4 linked regions of the Cricetulus griseus genome follow. The protein of the gene in region 1 purifies or fractionates together with the protein of each later gene. This does not show direct contact. Links are inferred from orthologs where the notes say so. Each region holds a gene or a part of one and is shown in the gene's direction. Other genes may lie near its edges.

Region 1 (7,426 bases):
TGTGAATGCTGCTTGTTTTTCTGGAGTCTAATGGTCCCATGCTCCTGTGCCTGAACTGTAGGAAGTCCAGTCTGGATGCTTGCTTGTTGTTATAGGCAGAGCCATGAGAGACTCCTAATGAAATAGTGTAGGGTTTGAGAGCTGATGGGTGTCCTGGCGTGTATAGGTGCAAACACAAGTTTGTCACTATAAGGAGTGTCTACTCCTCCATCCCCACCTCAACATGGGTCAAAGTACTTAATAGTTGTCGTTCTGATGAGTAAACATGTAAGTCACCTGGGTTTTTCCTCATTTCCAGTATGGTTGGGTATTGGTTCCAGTAATCTATTGCTACAAAAAGGTCATTCAAATAACAAACTACCCCTACACTGAACAGCTAAAGTAATGAGCTTGTTACTGCTCATTCATTGAGGATGAAGAATTTGAATAGCTCTGTGCCATTCACTGTAGGCATCCTGATAGCACTATGGTAGCATCTGGACTAAGCTGAGCCTTCCATACTTCCTTTTGTATCTGATGTGGGGCTGATCATCCTTAGGGAGATGTGCCCTTTGTGAAACATCTTGTGTCCTCCAGCAGATTTTTGGTCCTCTTACCCCTGTCAACTCAGAACTATTTACTGGCCTATAGAGGCTGTTCTGGTGGAAGTTACACCTCAGTACCCATCCCCCATCTCTCTCTTCCCAAACCCTGCCCCATCCCAGAAAGCCCTTCAAACAGGGCTCCTCCCCCAGAGATGCTCAAGACTACCCCCACAGAGTATTTAAACTGTCCCCCAGAAAACAGGTGGTTTTCTTGTCTCTCCTGTCTCCTGGGGTTGGGGGGCAAAAATCATACGGGAGTGTTTTACCCATTAAACGTGGGCATTTTCTTATTTGGTCTAATTTGAGTTGCTGCGTTGGCGGAGAGGCTTATGGGGTGCAGAAACTTTTCAGAGGCCACTGATGTTCAGATTCCAGGGTGTGAATAGTTGGTGGTTTAACTTCAGAGGTTATGTCAGAAGTGTGTGAACTTCAGATCAGGTTGGAGGTTAGGGTGATAAGGTTGGAATGGTACAGCAGGAATGCAGGACCACCTCGAGAGTGGGAACAGGTGCTGGCTGGCAGTCATCAGGTGAGGGAGTGCATATGTGCATAGCTACATGGGTTGAGGATGAGCCAAAGGTTTATAAGAGAAAACTTAGTGTTCTGTGGGTAACCAGCAGGATGCCTGGAGCATGATGTAGGACGACTATAAGTGAGGCGGGTGTGGTCAACTAGGTACTTGGATATCTTTGTTCCTCCTTCTTGGTGGCTTTGTCACAAAGATGAAAGAGTCTGAACAAACAATCTTACCCCTCCCATGAGCCTGTCAAATAAGTCTGGGAAAAGGGCTGAAACCATGACCCAACCCTAAAGGGAGAAGGGAGTTACTTCAGGGTGCCTCTTATAGGCTCCCACCTATCTACCATCTTGCCTGAGCCTTCTCCTTTGTGACCAGTTTCAGCTGTGCCTCCTCATTCACCCATGGCTACCTGATCACAGTGGACCCAGGATGTGTCTGTTAGACAGAGGAATTTGAACTCTGTCTCTAGTGGTTCCTGTTCTGGGTACTCCCACTGGTGGGGGAGGACCAGCTACTGCATAGTGTAGAAAGTCAGCCTCCTGGGCACTGTTGCTCAGGAAGTAAGTCAGGGCTGGCCTTCCAGTGCTAGATTGCTGACTGGCTCAGACAGGTTTGACTGCATTCCTGCTGGGAGAGAGCTGGCATTAGCTTTCTTGAGACTGAAGGGGCATCTCCTGGCCTAACTGATTTGCATCATAAAACAAAAGGCACCTGGTTTTTCCTCTAAGTCTGGCTAGAGGCTGAGGTAGCCAATTTGGGGGTAGCCCTGGGATTATCTAGGAGATTATTGGCCTCCTACTGTCTGTAGGACAGATGAAACACTGCCTATTAGTTTCTTTGCCAGTCTGGCTCCCTGGAAGAACACTAAAATGGGGGATGGCCAGGAGGTATTCTTGGGAAGATAACAGGCTGTTTGTGTCTTGGCCTTCCCAAGTACCTCTGCTGGTAAGGCTGCTTAACCCATGGGTACTTCCAGCCCTACATGAATTCCTGTGCTGGGAACAGGGAGGAGCCTAGGCCATTAGCTGGTTTAGGCTTATGCCACCCTTCCCCTTACAGCTATCCGGGTGACCTGCATGGGTTCCTGTGGGGTCTCCAACAAGGCCAACGATGGGGCATGGGTGGTGGAGGAGAGCTACTTCAACAGCTCCCTGTCACTGGCTGACAAGGGTGAGTGTGGGAGTCAGGAGTGATCACAGGGGCAACCCTTGCCTGGAATGGGGTCAATCTATCCCCCCCCCCAACAACTGTCTCTTGGATTTTCACTCTATCCTACTCTCTGGTACTGGGTCTGGGTGGGCTCTGACCCTCAGTATGACAGTTTCATCCCATCCTCTGCCTTAACCACCTTCCTGCTTCTAATTTTATTTTTAAAATTTGTATTTATTTGTTTTTGAGACAGGGTTTTATGTAGCCCAAGCTATGTTATTTATCTGAGGATGCCCTTAAACTTATGCTTCCATCTCCCAGGGGTGTGCTACCCTAACTGGTTTACATAGTCCTTGGAATTGAACCAGAGCTTTGTGTATGCTAGGCAAACACTACCAACTACATTTCCAGCCACACACCCTCATTTAAACCAAGCCCTTCTATGTAGTCTTTAGTTCCTGCTATGACCATACTGTTACAGTGCCGGAGACAGTAGTGTGGACTGTAGTGTCTACTTCTAGTCTGGCACTGTGTCCATTATGGATCTCCTCTGGTTCGCTCCCACCTCCTTCTTGTCTCTGTAGGAAGTCTGCCAGCTGGAGAGCACAACTTCCCCTTTCAGTTCCTGCTGCCTGGTGAGTGGAAAGCTTGTGGGGACAGCAGCCTTGAAATGGTGGGACCTGCAGGTGGGAGGTGCCAGCCAATCCCTGTTTTCTCCATAGCCACAGCACCCACATCTTTTGAGGGACCCTTTGGAAAGATTGTACACCAAGTGAAGGCCTCCATCGATACTCCACGTTTTTCCAAGGATCACAAATGTAGCCTCGTGTTCTATATCCTAAGCCCCCTGAACCTGAACAGCATCCCAGATATTGAGGTGAGGATGAAAGAGAGGCTTCCTTGGTTACCTTCAGCCTTCTCAGACCAGGCAGCCAGGATCTGCAGGCTGAGGGCCTGTCCACACGCCACAGGCATGCATTCTGTACTCACTTCATAAGCTCTGCCCATTTTCACTTTAAGCAACCCAATGTGGCCTCCACTACCAAGAAGTTCTCCTACAAGTTGGTGAAGACGGGCAGTGTGGTTCTCACAGCTAGCACTGACCTTCGTGGCTATGTGGTGGGACAGGTGCTTCGACTGCAGGCTGACATTGAGAACCAGTCAGGCAAGGACACTAGCCCTGTGGTGGCCAGCTTGCTCCAGGTCAGAGCCCTCTGGCTTCCTAAGCCTGTCCCTTTCCCATGGGGCAGAAGGGGTGGGTTGCTGGTCTGCCCAAGCCCACAGTCTGGTCTTTCCTTAGAAGGTATCCTATAAGGCCAAGCGCTGGATCTATGATGTGCGAACCATTGCAGAGGTGGAAGGTACAGGTGTCAAGGCCTGGAGGCGTGCTCAGTGGCAAGAACAGATCCTGGTGCCTGCCCTTCCCCAGTCAGCCCTGCCTGGCTGCAGCCTTATCCACATCGACTATTACCTACAGGTTTGGTGTTGCCCAGGGCTGGGTGGCCTGAGGCTAGGTGACCTTGGCCTGACTCCTCAATACCTGCATTCTTTCCAGGTCTCCCTGAAGGCACCTGAAGCCACCGTGACTCTCCCACTCTTTGTTGGCAATATTGCTGTGAACCAAACCCCACTGAGCCCCTGTCCAGGCCCAGGGTCTTCTCCTGGGGCCTTGTCCTCAGTTGTGCCCTCTGCACCACCCCAGGAAGAGGCTGAGGCAGTGGCTAGTGGCCCCCACGTCTCAGACCCAGTTTCCCTGTCTACCAAGAGCCATTCTCAGCAGCAGCCACTGTCAGCTACTATGGGTTCTATGTCTGTTGCCACCATTGATCCCTGTGTTCAGGTTGGAAGCCCTGCTCGACATTCTCTGCACCCTCCCTTGTGCATCTCTATAGGTGCCACTGTCCCCTACTTTGCAGAAGGCTCCGGGGGCCCAGTACCCACCACCAGCGCCTTGATTCTTCCCCCAGAGTACAGTTCATGGGGCTACCCCTATGGTGAGTGGGAATGACAGGGGCTGGGGGAGGAAGTGAGGGTGCCTTGAACCCCTTGTAGATCCTGCTTTCTCTCCACAGAGGCTCCACCATCTTATGAGCAGAGCTGTAGTGCCAGTACAGACCCTGGCCTGATCCCAGGGAGCTGACCCTGGTGAGCTAACCCTTGCCACCTTCTTCGGTGGACCTGGCCTTTGCCCTGGGACAAGATGCCCAGGGCCTCGTGCCTTTGCTCTCTACCTGGCCCAGCTACTCAGGACCTGCAGCCGATGGGACGACCCCTTGTGGACCAGCCTCTCCTGGCTCCTCTGGAATTAATCAGTCCTCTTCTCGAGAGGATGGGGTAGGGCGGCAGGGATCTGGGACCTGGAGAGACTATAAATAAAGCGCTTTATTTGTAGAGCTGGGCAAGTGGCTGGTCTTCACATCCTAAGCCTAGCCTCAAAGTGGACACTCTGTACAGACTCCGATCCTGAAGAATACAAGCCCTTAAGCTCCTCCTTTGACCTCACCTCTGAAAGACACCCTCCCACACACACCAGAGCTCCTTCCTTCACCATACCCTTCAGGAGGCAACCTGCCTGCCCAATCCTACCTCAGACTCTACTTCAAGCGTATTTATTCCTCACCTCATTGGCACCCCACCTCTATATTCCCTGAGAATGTGACCCCGATAGAGCCGTGCTAGCCACTCCTTTCCACGTTTAAGTTTTAATTTCCCCACTGTCTGTTTAAGGATATTCCTGGTGTTCTTGGGAACACTCTGGCTTGCATTCCAAACCATTGTTCTAGATGGTGTGCTTGGAGGCCTGGCCACCAGAAATATTCATGGACTTGTTAGGAACTTGCTTGCAGTAGAACTCTACTCTTGGGCATGAGGTCACTGTCAGCTCTGAGCATTGTTGTACACACAAGACCTTGAAGCTATGAACTTGGTCCCTAGAGCAAGAATGAAAGACAAAGGCTCCTTGGAGCAGCATTTCAGAGGCACCCTATAGTTGCCTTCATACTCCTTAACATCTCTGGTAACAAGCACTGGTCTGTTGTCCTTTACATGTAATGTTTGCACTGGAAGTGGTTACTGTGGAGTTGGTTAAGTTTCAGTTCTGATGGGAGAGAGCGGCTTTGTTAGGCATGGTGGCCACCTTTCCAGTGTAACCAACAACAAGCTCACAGACTTTCGGGAAACAAGGTGTACTAGAACGCAGGATACTGGCAGTGCTCAGCCAGTATCCCCAAATTTCACATCACTTAACCAACTAGGTCTGCACCCCAATGTCTTTAGGAACATGTTATTGTCTACTCCTTGCAACATGGTCTTTCACTGGGCAGCCACATACCTGGCTAACATTTGATACTGTGGGACAGGTAGGTCTTGGAGAAAGGCAGAAAGTAGGCCACAGATCTCTTAAACACCTTCTGGAAGCGGTGTGGCCTACAGTTGAAAGAAGAGCTTGCGTTTGAATCCCACCTTGTCTCAGGCTGGGGGCATACACTCAACTCCCTTACTTTGGTTCACTCACTTTGAAAATGGGAATGGGAAGCAGGCTTGTCCCTCAGACATACCCCACCTGCCTAGAGCAGGAGCCACTAGATAGGTAGTCAATGGTCACTAAGTTGTAGTGTGATTATGGCTAACTGCAAATTGGGTGTGGAAGGGTCTGTAGCCTTCTAACAGGTCAGTCACATCTTATTTGTCTGGTAAAAGGTTTACTCCTATGTTTCAACCTCTTCAATATTTGTTTTGTTGTTGTTGGTTTTCTTGTTTTATTTGCTGGAGGGTATTGTTGTGAGCACTATGACACACAAAACAGTGGTCATACACCGTATGTCATGTAAGAGTATAGGGAGCCTGGCAAGGTGGTGAGCATCTTTAATTATAGCACTTGGGGGCAGAGGTAGATAGATCTCTGTGAGTTTGCGGCCAGCTTGGTCTACATGATGAGACTCTAACAAAACAAAAGGTAACACCCAAAATAAATAAGAGATAACATGGAGGGGAGAGGCTGCAGAGAAAAATACATCCAGAATAAAAGATGAGAAGTGAGGAGAGCAGGTAAGGCTTTTCTGAGGCAGCTATATTTAAGGCACAAAGGCTAGGAAAGAAGCAAGCTATGCTGCAGTTATCTGAAACAAAGGTCTTGGGGAAAAGGTGAGATGGAGAGGTGGATTGGGGAAGACGGCTCTGTTTGGGCCATGGTTACAGAGGACTGTGCATGACTGTTTCCCATGACCTCCACAAGGGCTCCGTTCATCATAAATAGCCTTAACTCAGCTGTCCTAAAGAATCCTCGGTACTCACTGGGTACTGTCCATTTTCTCCTCTGTATGTGTATGAACACAGTGGTCAACTTAGCAGAACCATTTTTCAGTCTGTGATACTGAGTCTAGGCTGGTTGTCAAAACTCAAGACTTCATTATTTTTTGCCGATGAAACCTCACTTTTGCTTCTTTTTTGACGTCTCAGATGGGAAAGACAGAATTGTTTATGGAGATGAGGTGGCCTAAGATAGTTCGTGTGGCACTAGGTTTTTAGTCTAGTAATGATTATTTGGCCCCGTACACAGGAAGCTTGTGTCTAGCAGAACTTTGGGTAACCAGGGTGAGCACACTTCCTAACTGATGCACAGGTCCCAGCCAGACATACCCTCCTAACCAGAGCATCCATTTGTCTCCTGATTGCTGGGGGTGGGGAGTGGAGGGCTTGCCATCTGGTGCATTCCTCCATGTTGGAATAGCCCCCTCTTGTGGGAGCAGACGTCCTATTCAGGAAGTTACTTCCCTTCAGTTGGAGCATCCTCCCAACATGGCAATCTCCCCTGTGTACCCTCTCAAACTTGTAGAAACATCTTTCTGAAGCAGAATATTTCCTACAAAGTTAGGACATGCCCTTAACTAGAATTCCTTCTCGAAACTGGGACATTCCTCCTAACTGGGGACACTTTCCGTCCAGGACTTTTCTTCAAGATAGAGTGCCATCCTTTACCAGCACTCCACCTCATAAGCAGAGAAACCCTTCCTGAGGTTCCTTGTTGAGGTGTCTTCCAGGATACAGCTCAGAATGTCTGGTTTCTGGAAAAATCAAGGAAATAAAAACGTGTCTGTGATAGGAGGTTAAGACTCAGCCTTTGCTGATGATTGTGGCAGTATGCCTTTAGTCCCATCACTCAGGAGGCAGAGGC
Region 2 (7,858 bases), on another chromosome or scaffold:
CTCATTTGACAGTTGGTTATTATGTATACATTAAGTGCCTAATAAATGTCAAGAGCTGTGTTGGGTATAAGAGACGAGACAAACAGATGGGCACAGTCCTTTCAGTGCAACTCTTATAGAACACTCATACCCCACCTTACCCATCGATTTGAGAACATTCCATCATTAGCATCATTATTTTTTGGCAGACGAAGGGAGGAGCCATCAGTCTTTAAACAAGGAAATGATTCAGAGGACTGAATGTCAGAAGAGATGGAAGAAAAACCAGGAAGTAGAGACAGGGGCACTACTGCTGCTGGGCACACACACAAGTGTGCAAGCACTTCTGTGTGTGCTCTCTAAATGCCTGAGACACAGGAATGCAGCAGCATGGAACAGAAAGAGGCATCCCTGGCTTTTATATGCCTGTAATAGCTGTCATGCGGTTCTATCAGACATCCCAGGGAAATATCTGGTTCAACTCCCAGTTCAGCAAGAGTACCGATAGCTGCATTCAGGTATCCCACAAGAAAGAATTGTGGTAAAAGGGACTCCACCAAAAGCAGCCTGGAATCACAGAGACTGTAAAATGAACTTGTGTTATCAGGGCTGCCCGGCAGGGGCTTCTGCAACAGGATAAAATATGTCTCATCCTGGATCTGTCACCCAGGAACTTCCTAGCTGTGCCTTCATGTCTCCCGCTAGAAAGCAGGGTTGATGTGTCCTGCCCAGTGCCCAGGGGAGTAAAGAACAGCAAATCCCTAGATCCCTCAGCAGCATGTGCATGTCACTCAGTGAACACTCTGTATGATGATCAAAACATTTGGTAGCATCAATCTAGGACAGAAGTCACATATCATAAAAGGAAACGTCTAGGAACTTGAGTAGGAATTCAGGTGACTTACCCATTGGTAAACTGCGATTTTTTTTTTTTTCTTTCTTAAGAGCTTGTTCACAAAACAAAGCTATGTGTGTTGATACTGCAAAGCTGTACAATGGTGCAGACACATCTCTTTCCGAAATGGCCAGTAGAGGGCGGTGTGAGAGCAGAAATGGTGTGATTCCAATAGCCTTTTGGTTTTCTGTGATTGAAGTAAATTATTTGACTCAGAGTTGCTTGCATTTGAATCTGGGAAATCGATATGGACTTGAAATACCTGGATAATTCAATCTTTAGGAAAGCTGGACGTCTAAGGCTAGCACTACCGCAGGCCCAAAAATGAGAGTCCCATTGTGGTCCCCTCTAGCACCAGTCATGGGGTGTGGTCTTCTCCCTCATTGCAGAACACCTTGTTAGGACCTGAGACTCAGTGGAAGGCCAGGGTCCCAGAGAATGGGAACCAGCAGTCCCATTCCTTATTTTGCATGTGAGAAAGGTGAGGTCAGCACCCTCTCCTACTCACAGAGTTGGAGCTGCCATCCAGGAGCAGCCTGTTCTCCTATGGCTCTCTCTCTCTCTCTCTCTCTCTCTCTCTCTCTCTCTCTCTCTCTCTCTCTCTCTCTCTCCCTCTCTCTCTCTCTCTCTCCTTTAATGTGTCCTATAGCAAGACTTTCTTTTATCCCTGGGTCACTTGTGCAAATGAATAATATAACACATCAGGTCATATTGTGCTTGAGCCTGTTTTTACTTAAAATTCTGAAAGTTCCAAGGGCAGTCTGTGGGATGTGGGGGTGGCCTGTGGGAAGAAGGCGAAGGCACAATCAGGATGAAGGGCCATTTCTCCTCCCGCAGTGACCAAATGCTCAGCTACAACCTCGGCAGAAGGCTCCCAGCTGACCACGTGAGTGGCTACCTCCAGTTTAAAGTAGAAGTCACGTCTTCTGTTCACGAAGGTGAGGTGTCTGTGTAAACACATAAGCATGTGTCAGATCTGCCCAGTTGATAGTTAGCATGTAAGCAGGATTGTTGTGTGTCCAGTGCAAGCTGGAATAGCTTTCCAGTGATGGCCTGTCGGCTGTCAAAGCACTTAGCAAAGTCTGCTTAGCAAAGGTTGCTCTAAGAGTTATGTTTGAATTCTGAAACTAGGCTGAAGTTTCTTGCAGGAGCGGGCATCTACTACTCTTGTACCAAACTTCATGCAAGTGTAGCAAGGAGTAGAGGATCCTAGCAGCCAGGGATGCTGCCTGGGTCAGGTGGGATGATGGAACTCAGCGAACTGGTTAGTGTCAGGATAGTTGAGCTTTCTGTCTTCTTCCTCCTGCTCACAAGTGCTGCTTTCCTTCTCAGATGCATCTCCAGAAGCTGTTGGCACCATTCTCGGAGTCAACACTGTTAACGGAGATCTGGGCAGCCCTTCAGATGACGAGGATATACCAGGAAGCCATCATGACAGCACTGTTTGTGCCAATGGGCCAGTGTCTGAGGACAGCGCTGCAGATGGAACCCCCAAGCATTCTTTCAGGACTAGCTCTACTCTGGAGATGGACACCGAGGACTTAATCTCTACTTCCTCAAGAACCTCACCTCCCAGAGGCCGCCAGGATTCACTCAATGATTATTTAGATGCTATTGAACACAATGGACCCTCCAGGCCAGGGGCAGCCACCTCCTCCGAGCGGCCCATAGGAGCCTCTCCCAAACTGAGGAGTAGTTTTCCCACTGATACAAGACTTAATGCAATGCTTCACATTGACTCAGATGAAGAAGACCACGAGTTCCAGCAAGACCTAGGTTACCCATCTTCCTTGGAGGAGGAAGGAGGTTTGATCATGTTCAGCAGGGCATCCAGAAGTGATGCTGGGAGCCTGGCATCTCAGACCAAGCCAGAGGAGGACAACCCTGTTGAGAATGAGGATGCCTCTGTTCATGAAGCCGCTTCCTTAGAAGAGAGACCAGAGAGCCTTCCAGAGGTTGCAGATGGTACCTTGCCCTCAACTGCAGCCCCTGATGACAATGAAGCCAGCCTAGAGCCCCATCCCAGTGCTGACCAGGGCAGCACTGAATTGTCAGGCTCTCAAGAGGCTGATCAGCCCACAAGTGGTGCAGACACGGGAGCCTCTGACACATCCGGAGGGAGCCGCAGAGCTGCCAGTGAGACTGAGTCCCTGGACCAGGGTTCTGAACCTTCCCAGGTGTCCTCTGAGACAGAACCTAGTGACCCTGCCAGGACAGAGAGTGTGAGTGAGGCCAGCACCAGACCTGAGGGAGAGAGTGACCTGGAAGGTGCTGACAGCTCATGCAATGACAGCGTGACCACACAGCTGTCCTCGGTGGAGACACGGTGCTCATCTCTGGAGAGTGCGCGATATCCAGAAACCCCAGCCTTTTCTTCTCAGGAAGAGGAAGATGGGGCCTGTGCAGCTGAGCCCACCAGCAGCGGCCCTACAGAGGGGTCGCAAGAGTCCATCTGCACTCCTGGTTCTTTACCTGCTGTGCAGGTGCCCAGTAGGGAAGAGGAAGAGCCAGGGGCTGAAGTCGCTGCTTTATCTGAGCAGGGAGAGCTGGGGGAGGTCTGGCAGAGGAGGGGGAGTCTGGAGGGGGCTGCTGCTGCTCCTGCTGCTGCCACTGAGAGAGAGCCCCAAGAAGATGGGGATGCTGGAGACACCCAAGGTGCCTGTGAAGAGGCCACTGGCCAGGAGGAGGGCGCCACTGGAGGTAGGATATAGAAGACAGCATGACTCTTGGTTTAGGCAAAACTGCTCAAAAAGAACTCTTACAGTTTCCCTCCATGTAGATTATAATGCAGTTTAGCAAAAGGAATAAGAAAGGGAAGAAATGGAAGCAGGTAAGGAATATGGATAGCTGAAGCCCTTCTTGTGCATCAGGCCTACCAGTCCAGATCTGGAGAGGCCAGACTTAGGGACTTAATCGTTCACCATTCACATAGCTGGGAAAGAAGATGCCATGGTTTCCAGGCACATAGACCTCAGTTCAAATTCAGTCTTTTTAAAACATGGATCATCTACTGCTACCATACGAGGCCTGGCAAACAGCAGCCTTCAATCTTAAACAAGATGCAAAACCAGTCACTACCTTAATGTAATGTGTAGGGGCTATCAGGAGTACCTCTTTGTTACAGCTCTGGATCAGATAGTGTGGGCTTTTCATCACAACTCTGTCCAAAGAGGTCAGCTGTGTTAAGCGATAGTTCTGATGCATGAAGAGGGAAAACGGGAGAGAGCATTGCGTAAGTGCCCGAAGTTTCAAGCTCAGCTGAAAAATCTGTACTGGATTTTAGTGAACATGGCTCCCAGGAATGATTTATGCAAAATGTTGTAGAGAGAGGCCATAAAAAGAGAAAGGGCAGTTTGAGGTGCCTAAATATCAAAGACTCAAAACAGGAGTTATTCCTTTTCTTTTGGAGTAGGAATTGATGCTAGGACCTTGAGTTGATATGGCAGGCAAGCCCTGTATGAATGAGGTACATCCCAGGCCTAGGAATTATTTTCTTATCGTGTGATTTACTTTTCTACCTAAATTACCATTTTCTTTCCCTCTGACTCCTATTTTGCTTTTCATTAACCTCTGGCCATTTTGTGACCCTAAAGTGTTAGTGCATGAGCAAGTTAGAGGCCGTGAGGGGTAAGGAAAGATGCACGCTGGGGACATTTCTCTTGGGTCACCTCTTCTGAGCCCCTACACTCATGTGGGAAATGAGATAAGAGAGCATAGACAAATTGGGATTGATATTTGAGGTGTTTGTTTGCTTGTTTTTTATGCTAGCCTGGGCTAGCCTAAAACTGTCCATCCTCCTGCCTCAATCTGCTGGGCCCTGGGATTACATATATGTGCCAGCACATGTATCCTAGATGTCTGTTCTTTTATTGTGTGGTGTGTGTGTGCATATGTGTGTGTGCACACACATGAACACTCATAAAAACAGTAGCCAGGTAACTTGGTAACCTTTATCTTTAATCCTAGGTTCTCAAGCCAATGGGCACCAGCCGTTGCGGTCACTACCTTCAGTGAGACAGGACGTCAGTCGGTACCAGAGGGTGGACGAGGCTCTCCCACCAAGTGAGCAGCTGTTAGCTAAAGGCTTATACTGGCAGTGTGCAAGAGTGACAGGCAGATCCATTCCATGGGTCCTGGAGAAGAAGGTGTCTAGGAGATGACCAAGTGGCTGTCATCTGGGATGCTCTGTATGGTCACTACTCTCTGGTACTATTCTAAATGAAAGGGCAGCTAGGAAGAACAAACATTGTTCTGCCCATGTTAAATGCCATAATTGTGGAAGTTCATCCATGTATCTCAGGCATTCGTTGCCTAAGAGAATTTTTTGAATTATGTCTCACAGCAGCATGATTTTCATTCAGTGAGTAGGCAAAATGGGGAACTGTCTTAGAAGGACCTCACCCTGTACTATTAGTATGGGATTTCCTTTCTTCTGTCAGTTTACACTAAGCACAAGGATCTTAGTTCTTCCTTAAGGATATATAGGGCATGTTACTAACTTCAGAAATTAGCCTACAGTTTTGGGGGATATAACCATTGCTTGATGGTTTAAAGGGTGTTTTGTTCTTTTTACTTCAGAATACACTGAGCACTTTAATAGATGGTTGAGGACTAGGGGTGTGGGGGAAATGGTTCACAGTCTAAGTGGTACTAGCCTACTCTTAAGCAGCATGAAATATGAATTCTATTTAAAGTTCCTGAGTCTCTTACAACAATATGTTGAGAACAGCTCGCTGTGGTGGCTGAGCACACAGCTCTGTAGATTCGGTGTTGGAGAAGCAGCCGGAGAGATGCCCTCATGACCTGTGGTTTTCCCCATTCTTCACCCTCTGCTCTTCTCTCCACTCACCTGTCTTGACACACATGGGCCTTCATATACTTGAAATACTGGGTTGTGAAGAGAAGCAGCAAGCAGTTCTGATGCTGAAATACTCAATGGTGTGATCAGGAGGGAGCGGACAAGAGCCATTTGCTACTACTGTAGTTTGTCAGTATAACTGCTTGATCATTCTGGAATTCCATTGTACACAGATTTCTCACTTTTTCATACCTTTGGGTAAAGATTAAATACTATTCCTGGGGGATATTTTGGTATGATTGGAGCACAATGGACTGGGAACATCAGGAGAGAGTAGTGGGAGAGCTTTGTATGTTTACGTGGATCAGTCACAGAGTTTCTGAGCATTGGAAAAGGAAGCATAGCTTTGCATGAGTGTTCTGGCGACAAGCACCCTCCAGACAGGTGGAGTTCCTCTGGGATCTGTTGGACATAATTTTGATGTAGAGCTTACATTTTTAAAAGAGATGCTTTCTTGCTGAAATCAGGGTCCTATTCACAATATTTCAATCGCCTTGTTTAAACACTGATAAATAGAACTGTGTGGATAATTGGTTTTTTTGGCAAACAGTTGGCATTTTAGTTTAATAAGGTGATAAACTCAAAGAGCAAAAGTGATTTAGTCATATGTCTTGTTTAGTGAGTGATTAGTGTACAGGAGATAAATCGTAAGACCTATACCTGTTCAGTTGCTTTCAGTAGTGGTTCTGGGTGCCAGCCAGCCCCCACAGACGATATTTTAAGTCCATCAACTTCCTTCCTTCATAACGGTGTGGTGCTGGGCTTCAGGAGGAGGGGGCAGGGATGCCAAACATCTGAAGATGGCAGGACAATCTGGAAAACAAAGATTTGTCCCATCTAAACTTCTAGTATGCTTTCGGAGAGGCAAGTGTCCACACCTACTCAGCAAATGACATTTCAAGAAGAATATATAACCAGGTCTTTTCATTTCAAAAGCTCAGATCTTAAAGTATGTCTTTATAAAAATGAGATATATACATGTGTTACAGGAACAATCAGCTTGGAAGTTTGCAGACTTGTAACGGGAGGCTGGGGTCTTCCTATCTGAAGACTGTTCAGCTGTGTATCTATTCTCATAGCTCATCTTGTCTGTTCCTGCTAGCTGTCTATCCCCTCCCGACCCAGCCTTTTTATGCTACTTCTGTCTCTGTGTTTTTATTCTTCATGTTACAAGGGTGATTTTTGTTCCGTGTGCATGAAGTCTGGATAAACTGAGGAACTTGTTGATGGTCCCTGGCTAGGAAAAACTGAATCAGAGCCATTCCTTCTCCTAGACCCAGCAGTCTAATCCAAGGCTAGAAGAGAATCGAGGTGTGTGGACAAATGAATACAAAACTGTCTAGAGGCACTGAGGTGGTTTTTATGGTTGCATGCTGTTTATTAGGTGCCAGAAACACTTAAGGCACATTAGAAGGTTTGGGAATTTTGCTGCAACCTCATTTGTATTGTGTTTTAAGTCAAACCTGGGGAGGTGAACTTTTCTCTTCTTGTGGGAGAGGCTTATGCAGTAGGACCCTGTCTGGGGAAGTCCCTACCTTATGAAAGGAGTCACTGTAACTGTGTGAGCCACCTTTAAGTAACCCAGATAGATTTGTCCTGTTCAGCCTTTGTGTCTAGATGAGCAGCACACTTTGCTCTGTCTGTGCTTTGCTATCCCCATCCTCACAGGACAAGCCATGGAACCAGTGCACTTTGGATTTGAATGTCTCTCAAACTTGGCTCTTCTTATTTTTATCTTGTGTTTGTATCCTACCATATGCTGAGAAAAAGTACCTCATAACTTACATTGTTTTTCAAAGAGTTAAAAACCCAAACTGGAGTTGGGCAATGGTCACACACATACACACACACACACACACACACACACACACACACACACACACCTTTAATCCCAGTACTTGGGAGGCAGAGGCAGACAGATCTCAGAGTTTGAGGCCAGCCTGATCTACAAAGTGAGTTCCAGGACAGCCGGGGTGACACAGAGAAACCCTGGCTTGACAAACCAAAATACTACTACTACTACTACTACTACTACTACTACTACTACTACTACTAAATAAATAAATAAATAAATAAATAAATAAATAAATAAATAATAAAAACCAATTTGGGACTCACTCAGACAT
Region 3 (8,463 bases), on another chromosome or scaffold:
CCTCAATGTGGCTGGAAAATGAATGCCAGCTCTGAGACCCTGTTCCCGTCTTAAACACCTCTCAAGAGTCCTGGGATTAAAGGCATGTGATCCCAAGTGCTGAGATCATCTTCGTGTGAGCTGTTTCACTTTAGGACTGGATATATTTTGTGTAGCTTGGTGTGGCCTTGAACTAACAGAGCTCTGTCTACCTCTTAATTCTTAGTCCTGGGATTAAAGGTGTGTGCCTGGCTTCTCTGGTTGCGGCTGATTTTGCTTTCTGAATCCTTAGGCAAGCTCTAATAAATCATAATTAATATATCACCACATGCAGGTAGGTCTCAGGCTAACCTGCATGTGAGGATCACCTGAGTTGCTTCTGTAACCACCGATACCTGCCCTCCTCCACTGACCTTGGGAGGACAACCTGCTTTTTGTCTACTTTTAAAGCTCCCCAGATGCTTCTACCCTGCATCCAGTGTACAAGACCACTGCACTGGGAGAAAGCTGGTACACAGTTACAAAGGACATTGATAGTTTGAAGTGCGGTTTTTTTTTTTTTTGTTTGTTTGTTTTTTAATGGCTTGGTGCTCTGCATCTCCTGGTAGCCAAAGTAACAAACAAACAAACAAACAAACAAAAATCACAATCGGAAGGGGCAGGTATGGGTGTGGTGGGGGTTTCCGACACCAGTGCATGCCTTTAATCCCAACACTAAGGAGGCAGAGACAGGTGGATCTCTGTGAGTTTGAGGCCAGTGGTCTACAGAGCAAGTTCCAGGACAGCCAAGGATACACAGAGAAACCCTGTCTCTATAAAACACAAAACCAAACCAACAATAAATAAAACTTTTTTTAAAATTTTAACCATCCATAGGAATTTATCAGTTCCTTGAAATGCAGTAAAGTTTCTTTCACAGACCTCCAAGTAAATGTTTTGTTTGAATCTGCTCATCTGGGATGCTGAATGAAGTTACAGATTGTAATTTTGTAAACTGTCCATAATAAATGATGAACAGCAAATTTCCTATGAATATTTTAATATAAACTTTTATTGATTCTTTGAGAATGTAATACACACATACCATGTATTTTGATCACGACCATGGCCCACTTCTCATATCCATCCCTCAGTGAATGTCAAGGGCATGACCCAGACTGCAGGTGGCATAGGCTGTTTTGTTGCAGGTGGGGAGGGAGCAGGATGACGAAGAACAGGATGAAGAAGTATGACACCCTTCTACAGTGTCCAGATGACTCAGCCTGTTGTATGACTTTTCCTGGGGAGAGATGAACAGATGTATATTCATCTCTGGTAGGACACGATGAAATACTTTCTCTACTGTAGCTTAGTGAACCGATGATCACTTAAAGGGACATGGATGACTCAAATACAGCTGCGTCATGGAAAAGCCCATCTATATGGTCATGAATAGTTGCTCCATGGATAGGCTGCATCCCTGGAACTCCCTGCCCAACTTCCAGGGAGTGCCACTGGAGAGCTGGCCTTTCTCTCAACAATTTACTGTTTTTATGTAACCAGCTCAGGGCTTGTAAGCCTTATAACTGTCTGGGGGAGTCTGCCTCGATCCTGGAGAGAATGTTTCTATTTGGAGAGACTAGTTGTTTAAGTCAGCCTTACCTCTAGGATCAGAAATGAACATTTTTCTTAAAATTTGTTTTATTTATATGTGTATGTCTGCATGCGTGTGTGCCCATATGTGAAGACGGAAGTACTCATTTGATCCTGTGCAGTTCCAGTTACAGGCATTCGAAGGAGGATAGGCTTGTAACCAAATCATCTCTGGAAACCCCCCCCCCCCCGCCAGAAAGATGGTTTTCTTTCTGGAGTTTATTAGCTCTTTCTACTGACCTTGTAACATAAGGTGCAAATTTGACAAAGTTCTGCTTGTGTATATTAAGGAACTTCCATTTATATGGGTCAGAGGCACAGAGAAGGGCGTGTAAAATGAGTGTGTGTGTGTGTGTGTGTGTGTGTGTGTGTCCGTGTACTTTTTATAAAAAAGAAAAATAGTCTAGGTTTGATAAGTTGAAAATTCTTGATGGGAAAACACGAGCAGAGTTCTGGGAAATGTTCCTTCACAATCTTTATTTTTCTTGGTAGGGCTCTTGTGGCACCTAAGCGCCATATAAACTTGATGGCTCTGAATTCCGAGGATTCGGAGCAGTGTGTTGATTCCACAAGGCTGGCTTCAAAGGAAAGCTATTACATGGGACACATTGCAAGGGATGAAAGGGAGAGCTAAAGTTGGGGAGTGTGGGACCGCCTTTCAGGGTGTACACCAGGTATTTGATCATTAAGGTGGGCCAGGCAAGGTGACTCTGTTGATCTGTTCTCTCTTCCTTCAGTGAAAATCCTAACCTCCCAGACAAAACCAGACACTCTGATGATTTCTTTTTAAAGGAAAATAGCACGTTCTTTCTGTTCTTGTTTCTAATTTACCACTGCACACAACACTTATTTTTAGGATCGAATGCCTTCCTTTTGTTTTTGTTTTTTTTTTTTGTTTGGGTTTTTTGGTTTTTCGAGACAGGGTTCTCTGTGGCTTTGGAGGCTGTCCTGGAACTCACTCTGTAGACCAGATTGGCCTTGAACTCGCAGAGATCTGCCTGCCTCTGCCTCCCCAGTACTGGGATTAAAAGGCGTGTGCCACCACGGCTGGCTCTTAGGGGAGGCTTCTTGAAAAAAGTAGAGTGACGAATTTCTCTTAACTTATTTAAAGTAGCTTCTTGCATTCCTGTACTTCGAAAGATTAAATGAAGGGCTTGCTAGAGAAATTCCCTATCTGGAATGTGGGAAGACTCCTACGGTGGCTAATAAGACGTCTCCAAGGTTTGCATATGTAAAGGACAAACTTAAAGTTGAATTTGGTATTTCACGTTGTGCCTTACAAAAAAAGCCCGAGCTTTTATCAAAGAACCAGGCAGCCCGGTTTCAAGTGGGTGGGTGTGTACTCAGCGCGGGCGCAGAGTTGGTTTTGTTCCCAGTAGAGTTGACATCGGCAATGGCGACTCGCGGCCACAACGGGGCAGCCTCTCCTAGGCTGGCCGCCCGGCCAGGCGAATCCTTTCGGGGAGCTGACGCGGTGAGCCAAGTCTGGCCTGCCATAGCTGCCAAGAATTTAAAGGGGGTCTAGAAACATGCATCGTCGCCCCTTTAACGCTCCTGGAGACTTCGGGTTAAGAAAAAAAAAAGAAAGATAAAAATGGAAACAATGGTTTTGTTGTTGTTTGCACGGCGTCTTCATGGTCCCCCTAAGGTCCACTCCACCGGGTCCCCAAGGCAGAGAAAAGCGGGGCAAGTAAGAGGGTCAGCCCGGCAGGCCCAGCCCGCCAGGGCGCGCCCCAGTCCAGGACTCTGCGGCGGGTGACCCAGGAGGCGCTGGGGGTGGGGTGGGCGTGGGGCGAAACACCACCACCCCCGCGGCCCGCCCCCCAACCCGGCCTGTGATTGGCTTGGGGGGCGCCAGTGCCCGCCCCGGCGAACGGGAGGGTCGCCGTGGGCGCCGGGCGGCGCAGGCGGGGCGGAGAGGGCGGGCCGGGCGGAGCAGGCGAGGGGCGGGGGCGCGGGTCCCAGGGATCGCTGAGCGGGGCTTGGGGAGGCCGGGAGAGCCAGCGGCGGGGGCGGGAGCCCGCGGGCTGAGCGCTGAGCAGAGAGAGCGCTCGGCCAGCCGCCGCTCGGCGCGCTCTCGGAGCCGCCAGTCCGCGCGTCCCCGCAGCCTTCCGGGAGGAAGCGGCGCCGCGGCCGGGTGCAGCCTCACCTGCCGGCCCTTCCCCGCCCGGCGGCGCAGAAGGACAGAGGGTCGCGGCCCCGCGACGCACTTCAGCCGATCGCAGCGTCTAGGACCCCGCGCGGGGCGCCGGCTCCATGGCGACCGGGCTCGGGGAGCCCGTCTACGGACTTTCGGAAGAGGAGGTGAGTTTCTGCCTAGAGCGTTGTGGGGAGAGGACGGGGCCACTCCGCTGCGCGCGTCCCTTGCTAGCAGTGGGTCCCGGAATCCGGGTGACCCAGAGCGGTCCGGAGCGGTGGGTGACTTGTCCGGGTGAAGCGCTCCGCTCCTCTGCCCGGGGCTCTCGGGGTGGGCGGAGGCCGCGTGAGTCGCTGCCCCGCGGGTCCCTTTCCTCTGCAAGCTGCGTCTCTCAGGGCTGTTAGGCAACTTTCCTGGTCATGCCCCTGCAGCCAGGAGTCCGTGACAAGTGTCACGTCTGGGTCGCTGCAGGGGTCTCTGCGTGGCGCAGGCTATCTGGGGATTGTTGAGGAGCCTGGTGGTGTCTCCTTCTGGGACTTTTCTTGCTAGTGGGCGCTCGGCAGCGGATGTGTGCAGATCCCGGGGGGGGGGGGGGTGACACCGGGAGAGTTGTGTACGGCCGCCCCTGGGTCTTGCAAAGTCTGGAGCTGGGATTGTGCGTTTCGAACTCCTCTATTTTGGTGTGTGGAGGTGATCTGAGAAGGAGGCAGGTGCTGCAGGAAACTTAGGGGAAGCTTGCAGCCCTGCCATTTCTCCTTCGTCAAGAGGATTCAAAGCCCCGCACCTCTGGGGTGGGTGGAGAGAAGAAAGCTCCATTGATCTCTTTTATTAATAAAACGAATGAAATAAGCCACACCCCCAAACGGTCGGTTTGACTGGAGAGGGCTTTGTTTTTAAAAAATCTCACTCGCTCATCGCGGTCCCCACTCCCCCTTTTGAAAGGATCCTGCTAAATCACTGCTCAGCCCTCACTCGACCAGCCATTCTCGACTCTTATTGGTGTGTTGCTCTGCCAAAAAGGGGGGTGGGAGGCCTGTCGCGGGCTCGGAGTGACAGGCAGGCTGGATGGAGCAGGTAGGAGTGGTTCGCCATCTGGCGGGGTGCGCGCCCAGGTCTGGCTCCCCTTTCGAGAGGTGAATTTACAACCCATGAAGCATTACTCAGCGGGGAGGTATTTCCTATCCTGGTTGTGCATTTCATGAAAAGTGGATGCCTGGAAATTTGGGCTTTCTTGATTTCTCTTTCTTACCCTCGCTCCTTTCTTTCTGAGGTTCTCTCTTTCTCTGGAGATGGGGGTGGGGTTTAAAGAGAGTCTATTATGTGAGACCGATTCACAGATTCACGTTATGGCTTTGCTTTCAGCAGCTTCCCTATTGGCATGTGTGTGTGTGTGTGTGTGTGTGTGTGTGTGTGTGTGTGTGTGTGTGTACTGCTTTCCTACTGTGGCATGGTGTGTGAGTGTGTGTATTCTACCTAAGTGTGGAATGAAATGGGTATCTTGAGGTAGGCAGGGCATGTAAGGGTTGATTTTATTTTTTGATAGTGCTTGCTGGATTGCTTATTTTATCAAAGAATGATCACAATGCAAATAATGTGTGATATGTTTTTGATTATTTGTCATGCTTGTGTAAAATAAAGTGTGTGTGTGTGTGTGTGTGTGTGTGTGTGTGTGTGTGTGTGTGTGTGCTGTTAGCTGTTACCTGGAGATGGGTGAAAGTAGACTTGTTTTGTTTACCCAGGGGATTCTCCTCCTAGCTCCTTGTCTAGAGCTGGAGGGCAGTCTGAGCTCTTGGAGGTGCTGAGATACTGAACAAAGGGCTCCCTGGATGAGGTATCAAGGGAGATGAAGACAGCTGCGTTTCTTCTTAGGGTCTCTTAATTTTTAAAAATAACATGCTTATTTTTAAAAGCTCCTTGAAAGAAATATTTTAAGGGTGTTTTGGGAAATGTATCTGCCTAAAGGAATCCTATCTGTCACTGGTGTGCGCGCGCTTTGTTTATGCTGGCAGCCAGTGTCAGAATCCACCTCAGGAGCATCTTGACACTTTTGTCTCCGAGAATCGCTGCTGATCCTGACTGGTGTGGGGTGTCAAAGTGGAGAACATAGACACAAGAACCGAGTGTGCCTGTGACTGTTCGCTCCTGCGTATTGTCAGAGGGACTGTATAGGGAATAGCAAGAGGAGATGAAAAACACTATTTATGTATTCTGTTTAGTTCCTCAAACATCATATATGATCCAAAATAAGCTGCATCTGCCTCCCTTTTTCATTTTTCTATCACCAATAGAAAATGATTGCCTTCATATTTCTAAGGCAATTGTTTGGTGTGGGAGGTTTCCCTCTGTTCAGGGAGGGGGCCATTTGAAGACATACAGAACTCCTTCATATAGTATTAACACCAAATTGTTAAATTTGCTTGCTTTGTCGCCTCTCCCGAATTAGTGTGTAAGCAAACAAATGAGAGTAATTAACAGGCTCTGAAAGTGGACTGCCTGATGAAATGAACAGCACTAGAGGCTTGTCAAGTTGTGTTAAATAGTGAGCACCAGAGGGCTGCAAGTATCACATGGAGACACCCGTGTAGGGGTAGAGAGGAGTCTACTTGTAGACCTTGAGAAAATCGGGCACTGTACCCAGGGTTTCCTTGTAGGTAGACATGTGTTCATGTTTGATAGTGGCAGAAAGCTTTATGTATTTGGAAGGAACTTAGTCATGCCCCATCTTATAAAGCCACTGTGAGCTATGTACTGCTATTGGTCAAGCATAGTGCTAACCTAGAGCATAGCAGGATGGCAGGGCCAAGACATCGCTGCTTGGGGCATCAGCCTAAGGTCTGGCTAGTGTACTGAATGAGAAGGATTAAGATATAGGTTTTGCTTCTGTGGGTGTATGTGCTACGTATGCATTGCAGCTGTATTTCCTTGGGTGACTTCTAATTCATACTCACTATAATTTAAGGCATGTCAGTTTCAGAAACCAAAATTGAAATCACTATTAGATGAGTTTTGGTATTGAAGGGATAAGCTAACGAACAACAGTTCATATTCATGGCTGAGGATAAGATTTGGTTTGGAATCAGAAAGGTTTGGACTAGTTTCTGCATCTGGGTTGGGTCCTTGAAGGGCTTTTTCTTGTTTGAGTTTATTTGTGGCCATCTGTAGCCTGTTTTGGTAAGGTTTACTCATGAATATTACTGTTACTCTTTTGAAACCTGTCATTACACCTGAGAAAGGTATCAGTTTTTTTTGTTTTTGGTTTTGTTTTTTTTTGGGGGGGGGAGATTTTCCTATTGGGTGAGATGTCAAGAGTTTGAATGACACCCGTCTGAAAAGATTAGCTATGGTACCCCAGCATATAGAGACAGAAGAAGGGATGGTGAGCTTGAGGACAGCCTGCACTAAAAGCCAGAACCTTGTCACAAATAGACAGACAAACCATGAAACACACAAACAAAAAACAACAACAACAACAACAAAAACACAACCAAAACCAAATAAAACAATGGGATATGTCACTTAACATATTTCTGGTGGCTAGAATGGGGTAAATGACATAGAAATGAAGGTCAGGCTGACATAAGATGGTACTTGGATGTATCTCTTATTCCATGTGGACAACTGTATGCAGTAAGGACTAAGCCTTAAGCATGTGTCATCTAACTTGTGCTTCATTGAAACTCTTGAGGTATGGTGTCATTTCTGGCTGAGGAATGGAAGCTAAGAGAGCTTAAATGAACTGTGTGACAACACTCGAAAGTAGGCCTGTTGGCCCCAGAGCCCTAGTTTTTAAAGTTTGCTCCCAGATCTCCCTTTTTGTCAAAGCATATTGCAAGGTTTTCATAGATAGATTACTCATGATCTTGGAAAATGAGCTAAACATTGTGGGTTTGTTTGGGTTGACCAAAATTGACGGCTAGCTCTCATTAGTGTGGTCTCCATAGTGTGTTAAAGCTTGGGAGGGTTCGTGAAAAATGATGAGAAATGTAGCTTCTCTGGGTCACGTTCTCACCTGGCGACAGTTAGGAGCATTATATGCCTCCCCTGTGTGGTAGTGTGTGTAGTAGCCACAGTCAGCGCTCTTCTCTATGACCTTAGGGGTCTCTACTGATTTGTATGTAATTATAAACTTGCTAATGAACACTTAAGGTTAACTTGGCCGTAATTGCATATTGGATTTGTTTCAAGGCCCTGACCAACTTAAGATGCATCATTATTTCATGTGCCACTAAGAAAAAAACAAATACTGCTGTCAAAGTAAGACATACTGTCAATTTTAGGAAGCATCTGTATTTCATAGATGTTAAAGTTTGAAACAAGGATATTTCAGAAGAGATGAGTTCTATTAGAAGAAACATGGTTATTTACTCTAACTGGTCGGCACCAGAGTCTGTAGTAGTGGAACTTTTTTTTATTTTCATTGTTTTGATGCTCTGGCTTGAATTCAGAGCTTTGCCTATGAAGCAAATGCTTCCCCACTGAGCTTGCAGCTTCAGGTTAGCACTGTCAAGATTTCTGCCTTTTTATCTGTAGCTGCACCTGCATCTGAGCAAGGGTTAGAGCGAGAGGAACAGTCTTTGATGGGCATTAGCAGGGAAGAAGCCAGAGGCTCCATGTTGCCGTTCAAACAGCCATCTGTAAGCTCATGTCTAAAGTGTGTCTGGACAGACCTCGAACACCACCATCTTGGCAGTTGTGGAAGACATTCAGGACAAGAC
Region 4 (7,841 bases), on another chromosome or scaffold:
AACGGAGAAAATTACGCACCTGACAGCATCTATTACCTCTGCCTTGGTATACAGGAGGTAAGTTTTTGAATATAATAAAAGTTATGGTAGAATTTTTCGATATATAGATTGCCTATGAAAATTTAAGCTTCATTTTCTAGAACTTTAAAATGTTTATGTAATTTATATGTGTATGTATGTATGCACATGTGTGTATGAATGTCCACAGAGGCCAGAGAAAGTATCAGATACCTTGGAGCCAGTGTTTATAGGTGTTTGTGAGTTTCATGATGTGGGTGCTGTATCTGAACTCTGATCTTCATTATTGAGCAGTGTTCTTGGGTGAGTCATTTCTCCAGTCTCAGGTTTCCGGAATTTCTGTTTGCTTACCAAGAAAGGTAGAATTTAATCTCTTTGGAAATATCTAGGGTATATAAAAGATACCTAGGGCACATAAAATATTTTCCTAGATATTTTGTATCAAGACAAAAACCAAAAAACAATTGACTTAGCTCAACTGTGTCCCCCCTTTTTTGTTTTTGTTTTTGTTTTTTTTTGTTTTGTTTTGTTTTTGTTTTTTAAAACAGGATCTCACTGTATATCCCTGGCTGACCTAAGACCCACAGAAACCCACCTCCCTCTGCCTCCTACATGCTGGAATTACCATATGCACCACCATGCCTAGCCTCATGCATCTTTTGTGAGGAGTCTTAAAAGTGTTGTCTGTTTGGGGATGACATCATTTTTTAGTAGTTGCAAGAAAATGAATTCATAGATGGTTAGCTTCAGAATTCCCTTTAGAGTTGCTCATGTTTCTATACAGGGTAAAAATATATGTACCTAGACCACACTAACAATGCTAAGTAACTTTATATGCCCTTTGTTTCATGAGACATGATTTTTGACCATGCAGATGTAAAGATCAACTATTTTTCTGTGTAAAACAGAGCCCTGGGGTTCAGTGGGAAAGGAGAGAAAGTTTTAGGCCTTTCTTGTTACTTTAATCCATATCTTTATTTTCATTGTGTTTTAGAGTCTATATAAAATTTTATTTTAAAGCACCTTCTAAACATATCCTAAAAATGAGCTTCTAGGTTTTTTGGTTGCTTGATTGGTTAGTTTTGAAGGTTTATTTGTTGTTTTTAATATTTTCATTCTTTGAGAATTTCATAGTCTATGCTGATAGATTTCTCTCTCTTTCAAGTCCCTAGCTAGCCTCTCTAGAGAGAAACTTGACATCATCCCAGAATTTATTCTAGGGTTTAACCTTTGAGTATTTTAGACGTAGGAATGTAGTAAGATTTTGTTTTAAAGCTTTGCACTATGTTTATAAATTTAAGAAAGAGTAGAGCAATGGCCCGTGTAGTTCTGTTGCTGGAGTTTCTTTCCAGCCTGGTCCAGTAGCCAATTAGCTCCAAATAAACACAGAAAGACTTATATTAATTTATAAACTGTTGCCAAAGGCTAGGGCTTCTTACTGGCTAGCTCTCTCTTAATTATTAACCCATAACTACTAATATATGTATTTCTACATGGCCTTATCTTACCAGAGAACCACTGGCACATCCCATCTCCCTGGTCTCTACATGGCATCTCTCTTGTGGCTTCACAATGTCTCCTCTTCTTTCCTCTCTTAGCTCTGCCTATACTTCCTGCCTATCATTTGGGGCTGACGGGCGGCAAGACCTGGTGGGACAGAAACCTCCAACTTCAAGTTCTATACAAATGAGTAGTTTTTAGTAACTGCTAATTAAATACAATCAACTTTTTTTTTATTCATGAGACTTTAAGACTGCAGCATTTATTAATACTATAAAATATGTGTAAATTTATGAAGCAAGCTTGAGTCTTGCTACTCCTTCATTTTAATATTTTCTGTTTACTGGACATTGATGTGTTTTAGAAATTGGCATACTCGTGTTGATAGATTTCATTAACTAATTGCTAACATTTGATTTTCTGTATACACATTCTAAGCATTGGATGTACCTACTCTTTATTTTTTGCCTTGTTCTGATGAAGAGAGATGCTATAAGTAGTAGCTTTTCTAAATTATGTAATTCGTAAGTTTTGAATCTGGACTGAGTATGGTTAGCATGGTATTTGTGGGGGCTGAGGCAGGTAGGCTTATGAATGTGAGGTCAGCCTGGGTGTTGCATTGTGAGTTCTTCGCTTGTCTGGGATACATAGCAAGACCCTGTCTCAAAAAAAACAAAAAAAACCAAAAAACAAAAAACCCCACAAAGACGACCCCCCCCAGAAAAAAAGAAAAAACAACAAAAGAAAAAATCAAATAGAATCTGTTCAGTTTGACTTAGAAAATCATTATAAACCAGGCATGGTACATGGTGCATGCTAACATCTGTGAGGCAGGGGGATTGTAAGTTTGAGGCAAGGGCCATGAGGGAGAATAGCAAGGGAGGCTACTATAATATGGTTTGCTCAAGGATTTGAAATATATGGTCCTCTACCCAAAGATTATCTGTAGAACAGTTTTGGGACAAGTATCTATCAATTCTATCCAATGGGGCAAGGATATAGCTCAGTTGATAAAGTGTTTGCAGCACAAGCTTGAGGTTCTGAATTTGGATCCATGTAAAAAGCCAAGTATTTGCTTATAATCCCAGTTCTAGGAAGGAGGAGATGGGGTTTCCTAGGGCTTCCTGGCCAGGTAGTATACCTGAATCATTGAGCTCCATGTTCAATGAGAGATTCTGTCTCATAAAACAAGTGGAGAAGCAATTAAGGAAGACATTCGGTGTTCACGTATGGCCTCCACATGCATGTGCATGCACATGTATGTTGCACAAACGTGTACACAGCATGAAAGACTTTAAATTGAATTTTTTTGAAATACAGATAGAAATTTTGTAGACAGAAAGGATGAAAGGAAATGGCATCCCTAGAAGACAGAGTCAGGCAGTTTCCCAGGAACCATGTTTAACATGGGTAGGTGTCAGGTATGAAGTATAAAGAGTGATGGTAAAGTCATACTATAAAGGACCTGAACTCTCCTATAAATTGTTTAGTTTTCAAGTGAAAATATTGTTCCTGTTTTGATTTCTGCTATCCTGGAAATAATGCCCGGGCCCTTGAGCACATTAGACAGGTGCTCCACCCTGGTTAGGTTCTCGGCATTTTCAAAAGCCCAACCAGAGGATTGGCAGAAGATTGGGAGAGCAGAGGCAGCCAGCTAGCTCCTCAATGTTTTCCTTTAATCATTAATTATTCTTTAAAATGATTATTTTTCTCCATGTGTGATATAAATTGAGGATTCTATATTGTGTCTGACAGACCACTGAGCGAGTGTGTGTGTATGTATGATGAAAGTTTGTGTATGCCACACTGAACAGATGGCAATCAGAGGACAATGTTGTAGAGTGGGTTCTGAGGTCCCTTGCATGTCATGCTTTTTGCATGGCAAATGCTTTACTTGTTAAACCATTTCTGTGGCCTAGACTAATGATTCTTATCCAGTGTTTATATTCAGGATTTTGTGTTATACTTTCCAGCTTTGCATGTTTTAAGCAACAGGTTAATTGGTAATTCATGCTTTTTCCATTGTACACACATACCCATGGCCAGTAATCTCTTGTGTTTATTAGAATCCTTGCTTTTCTTAAACATAAAACTTTTTCTTAAGAAATGAAAAGTACAATACATTGACTGCTTATAATTAGCTGGTTTTCCTCCAATAATTTTTTTTGTAGTACTTATGTGGTAGTAATCGAAAGGACAACATATTTATTGATCCAGGATACCAGATGTTTGAGCAAGAATTGAGTAAAATACTCCGAAGTTGGCAACCAAGCATCCTTCCAGATGGTAATTTTCTTTTTAATATGTGTTAATAGTTGCTAATGGAATTGTTGTTTTTATAGAAAGTATGTTAAGTATAGTTAGGTATGATTTAAATTAGAAAGTAAGAGCTTGTGCCCATGAGCTCATTTGCAAATAAATAGTCAGTAACTAATGCTTTTGAAGAACTTTGTAAAACAAGTGGCCTACTCTGAGGAAGAGTGCAAGGTTAGATATTTATGTCTTAAGACCAACAATATACAGATTCTGATGTGACGAAAATGTATTTGTTTCTGGGAAGCACATGTTGTTTTCAAGGATTATACATATTTTAAATTATTTTCTGATCATAACTTGTTTGTCCTACTGAAGGACAGAAGCTAGCATCCTGTACCTTATTCTGTGGATGGTGGTTCCATACACTGTTCCCCAACCTTTTATATTGTTAAAAGAGCTAATATGTAATTTTCAGGTTCATTCACATTGACCTAATGTGGAAAGTGGATTGGCATTGGGATGTTTTAAATTCACTTTTATTTCTACATGGTTAAATTTAAACTGTTGTATTTATAATTCTTTTAAAATAGTTCTCTCTATTTAAGGGTCAATATTCTCTCGGGTTGAAGAAGACTATCTCTGGAGGATAAAACAACTAGGATCACACTCTCCAGTAGCTCTTTTGAACACCCTGTTCTACTTTAACACTAAGTATTTTGGCCTGAAAACAGTGGAACAACACTTAAGACTTTCCTTTGGCACCGTGTTTAGGCATTGGAAAAAAAATCCTTTAACAATGGAAAACAAAGCATGTCTTCGTTACCAGGTGTCTTCCTTATGTGGAACAGACAATGAAGGTAGTATAATTTCTTTTAAAATCAAAATTTATCTTTATTTTCTGTGTGTTTTGCCTATACACCACATATATGCAGTGCCTCAGGGTGCCATAAGGGTGTCAGATCCCTTGGAACTGGAGGTATGAATGATTTTAAGACACCATACAGATTCTAGGAACTAAACCAAGGTCTTCTGCAAGAGCAGTAAGTGTTCTTAACCTCTGAGCCATCACTGGCCCTGGTATTATAGCATTTTTATTTAGAGATTGTTTGTGATGGGAATAGTCAAACTTTTTCTATCAAAGCCCACCTCAACCAGTCATTAAGAACCTAAAGACAATTGCTTTCATAAAACACAACAAAATGTGTTGTGATTCCCCCCTTTTCCTTCCTTCCTTCCTTCCTTCCTTCCTTCCTTCCTTCCTTCCTTCCTTCCTTCCTTCCTTCCTTCCTTTCTTTCTTTCTTTCTTTCTTTCTTTCTTTCTTTCTTTCTTTCTTTCCTTTATTTCTTGAGACATGGTCTTACCTGTGTATCTTTGGCTAGTCTGGAACTCCCTGTGTAGACCAAGATGGCCTCAAACTCCTAGATATCCTTCTGCCTCTGCCTTCAAACTGTATCTTAAAATGTCTTCGTTTCTTTTTGTTATTTGTTTTGAGATTGGAGTTCTAATTCAAACTGGCCTTAAACATTATATCAAAGAATGACCTTGGAACTGTGCAGTCCTCCTTCCTTTGCTGAGACTACCTGCATGAAACATTGCACCTGTTTTTATGCTTAGCTGATGTTCAAACTTGGGCATCAGGCATACTAGGCAAGCATTCTACCAGCTGCCAACTGAGCTGTATTCTTAGCCTCTCAGTTCCTTTTGTTGGAAAGATACACATTATCAAAACCTACCACACAGAAAACTCTGAAGAGAACCTAATCCAATGTTGATAAAACAGGTGCTATGGATGAATAGTAATTTCTTTCCTCAGAACTGGTTTTAGGGTGTTGGTAAGTAAAACCAGTGAGTGAAATCAGTTGTTGCACATGTCTGACCACTTGAATTGGAATTCTGGAGCCCACATAAAAAGCTAGATGCAGTAGGGTGCACCTGTAATCTCAGCACCCTATGGGGAGAAGAGAGGTAGATGGGAGAATCACCAGGAAGCTCATAGTCCAGCTAGCCTGGAGTATGCAGTTCAGAAGCAGAGAGAGCCTGCCTAGGATAGGTGGAAGACAAGAACTGACTTTCAAAACTCCTCTGACCTCATCTACGCTGTGGCACACTGTGCCCACATTCATACACATAACATACATACACATATACACAAGAAAGAAAAAACGATTGGTTTTAGGAAGCTTACTTTTGTTATTGTTGCTTTTTAAAGATAAAATTGCTACTGGAAAACGAAAACATGAAGATGATGAGCCAGTATTTGAACAAATTGAAAACACAGCCAACCCTTCTAGATGTCCTGTGAAAATGTTTGAATGCTACTTGTCTAAAAGGTGAACATTATTGATATTTGACTTTTATTTTGTAGTACTGGGGTATTGAACTGGTGGCTCTACCACTGATCTACATGCTCAGCCTGATACTTGACTTTTTAAGATGTTTGTATAAGTTGGTTGAATTGAACACTATTAAATGATGGTATTGTTGGGCAGTGATGGTGCACACCTTTAATCCCAGCACTCAGGAGGCAGAGGAAGAGGTCTCTGTGAGTTCAAGGCCAGCCTGGTCTCCAGAGAGAGCTCCAGGACAGCCAGGGCTACACAGTGAAACTCTGTCATGAAAAACCAATATAACACGCATGCACTAACGCACACCCCATTAAGAAGTGACATTTACCATTTTTTGAGATTTCTTTCTTTGTTTAAATGAAAGTTTATATTCCAAAGTTATATTCTACTTTAACTTTAGAGTCCTCTTGTGAAATACCAACCACATAGGCTTTAGGCTTCCCTCCGTGTTAAGCAGTTGCTCTATTAAAAGTATCACTCTGCTATTGTCTTTTATATTAGAGCAGTTCTGTTGCTTGCTAAGCAGGGACACAAACTTTCTATTTAGAGGTAACTATTTTAGGTTTTTGGGTATTTAGTCTCTATCTACTTGATTGTCTTACTACAACTAGAAGAGGCCATATATTGTATAATAGTAAGTTCACGGTACATGGCTTTATACAGGTTGCTGGCCACTGTTTGCCTAGTGCAAAGGTAGATGTCTTTCAAAGTAGGTACAATGGGTAGAGATGAAAATAAAATATTTATAGCCGGGCATTGGTGGCACACGCTTTTAGTCCCAGCACTCGGGAGGCAGAGACAGGCGATCTCTGTGAGTTCGAGGCTAGCCTGGTCTACAGAGCGAGTGCCAGGATAGGCTCCAAAGCTACACAGAGAAACCCTGTCTTGAAAAACCAAAAAAAAAAAAAAAAAAAAATCTAGATGTGAAAGAAAACAGTTTTTTGAAGACATTCTTTGGAAGGTCCTCCAGTTGCATGACTGCTGTCATCCTGTCTGGAATTAGCAGGCTTTGTTGAGTCAGTCCTCTGTCAGATGGTTTCATTTTGAGTGTTTTAAATAAGCACTCTGACTTTCAGAAAGTGCAGAGTTGGGTTTGTAAACAACTTCTCACATTGTAGTGTGGTTTCCAGGGTGGCTGTCAAGAACTTATAAAAGTATGAACTTTACCTTTAGCATGACCATGTTTGTAACAAGTGTAAGAGTAGGTTTCTTCTCTTCAGCTCTGTTCTGGAGCATCAATTTAGTTTCATTTATTTCCAGTGTTGGTGACTATTTGCCAGATGGGAGTTCCTTTCTCAGTATTGTCTTGTTGGTATTTAATGTTTGGGTTTTTTCCCCTTTTCTTTCTTTCTTTCTTTCTTTCTTTTGTATAATGCTGTAAGACTTTACTATGCTGCATATTTTCATCATTTTAAGTCATTTTTTTTTTTTTGCATTTCCCTTTTCCTGAAATGGACATGCACTGTTAAATTAATGCATTTGAGATTATAATTGGCACCAATATAAACATGACTAAAAAAAATAGTGTATATATTAATGGAGTCTTGGATTCTATGAAATACAGGATTAGAATTATAGTAGGGAGCTCATGCTTTTATCACAAAACTTAAGAGAACAATTTACTGATAAAACAATGCGGTTAATGAGGCAGAAGGCATTGAGCACATCTGATGCTGGGGGCTGAGTTGTTCTTGAAATAAGTAAAGTTATGGCGAATTTCA

What was found.
Region 2: the proteins of Arrdc1 (region 1) and Hecw2 purify together in Homo sapiens (affinity purification with mass spectrometry; 3 studies listed by BioGRID and IntAct, counting the BioPlex papers as one, with this or other methods). This does not show direct contact. The link is inferred for Cricetulus griseus from reciprocal best matches to the Homo sapiens genes ARRDC1 and HECW2.
Region 3: the proteins of Arrdc1 (region 1) and Nedd4l purify together in Homo sapiens (affinity purification with mass spectrometry; 3 studies listed by BioGRID and IntAct, counting the BioPlex papers as one, with this or other methods). This does not show direct contact. The link is inferred for Cricetulus griseus from reciprocal best matches to the Homo sapiens genes ARRDC1 and NEDD4L.
Region 4: the proteins of Arrdc1 (region 1) and Zmym2 purify together in Homo sapiens (affinity purification with mass spectrometry; 3 studies listed by BioGRID and IntAct, counting the BioPlex papers as one, with this or other methods). This does not show direct contact. The link is inferred for Cricetulus griseus from reciprocal best matches to the Homo sapiens genes ARRDC1 and ZMYM2.

The regions. Positions count from the first base shown.
Region 1 is NC_048599.1:136,274,750-136,282,175, reverse strand, and holds the end of Arrdc1 (arrestin domain-containing protein 1), read left to right. Parts: intron 1-2,163; coding exon 2,164-2,274; intron 2,275-2,837; coding exon 2,838-2,888; intron 2,889-2,975; coding exon 2,976-3,130; intron 3,131-3,273; coding exon 3,274-3,456; intron 3,457-3,553; coding exon 3,554-3,730; intron 3,731-3,808; coding exon 3,809-4,247; intron 4,248-4,305; coding exon 4,306-4,379; coding exon of another isoform or gene 4,380-4,393; 3' UTR 4,394-4,651; downstream 4,652-7,426. UniProt on the Homo sapiens protein: Functions as an adapter recruiting ubiquitin-protein ligases to their specific substrates. Through an ubiquitination-dependent mechanism plays for instance a role in the incorporation of SLC11A2 into extracellular vesicles.
Region 2 is NC_048595.1:408,498,985-408,506,842, reverse strand, and holds part of Hecw2 (E3 ubiquitin-protein ligase HECW2), read left to right. Parts: intron 1-1,711; coding exon 1,712-1,812; intron 1,813-2,206; coding exon 2,207-3,574; intron 3,575-4,840; coding exon 4,841-4,936; intron 4,937-7,858. UniProt on the Homo sapiens protein: E3 ubiquitin-protein ligase that mediates ubiquitination of TP73. Acts to stabilize TP73 and enhance activation of transcription by TP73. Involved in the regulation of mitotic metaphase/anaphase transition.
Region 3 is NC_048595.1:174,383,104-174,391,566, reverse strand, and holds the start of Nedd4l (E3 ubiquitin-protein ligase NEDD4-like), read left to right. Parts: upstream 1-3,567; 5' UTR 3,568-3,867; coding exon 3,868-3,915; intron 3,916-8,463. UniProt on the Homo sapiens protein: E3 ubiquitin-protein ligase that mediates the polyubiquitination of lysine and cysteine residues on target proteins and is thereby implicated in the regulation of various signaling pathways including autophagy, innate immunity or DNA repair.
Region 4 is NW_023276807.1:212,011,378-212,019,218, forward strand, and holds part of Zmym2 (zinc finger MYM-type protein 2), read left to right. Parts: coding exon 1-57; intron 58-3,689; coding exon 3,690-3,804; intron 3,805-4,364; coding exon of another isoform or gene 4,365-4,378; exon of another isoform or gene 4,379-4,379; coding exon 4,380-4,631; intron 4,632-5,984; coding exon 5,985-6,105; intron 6,106-7,841. UniProt on the Homo sapiens protein: Involved in the negative regulation of transcription.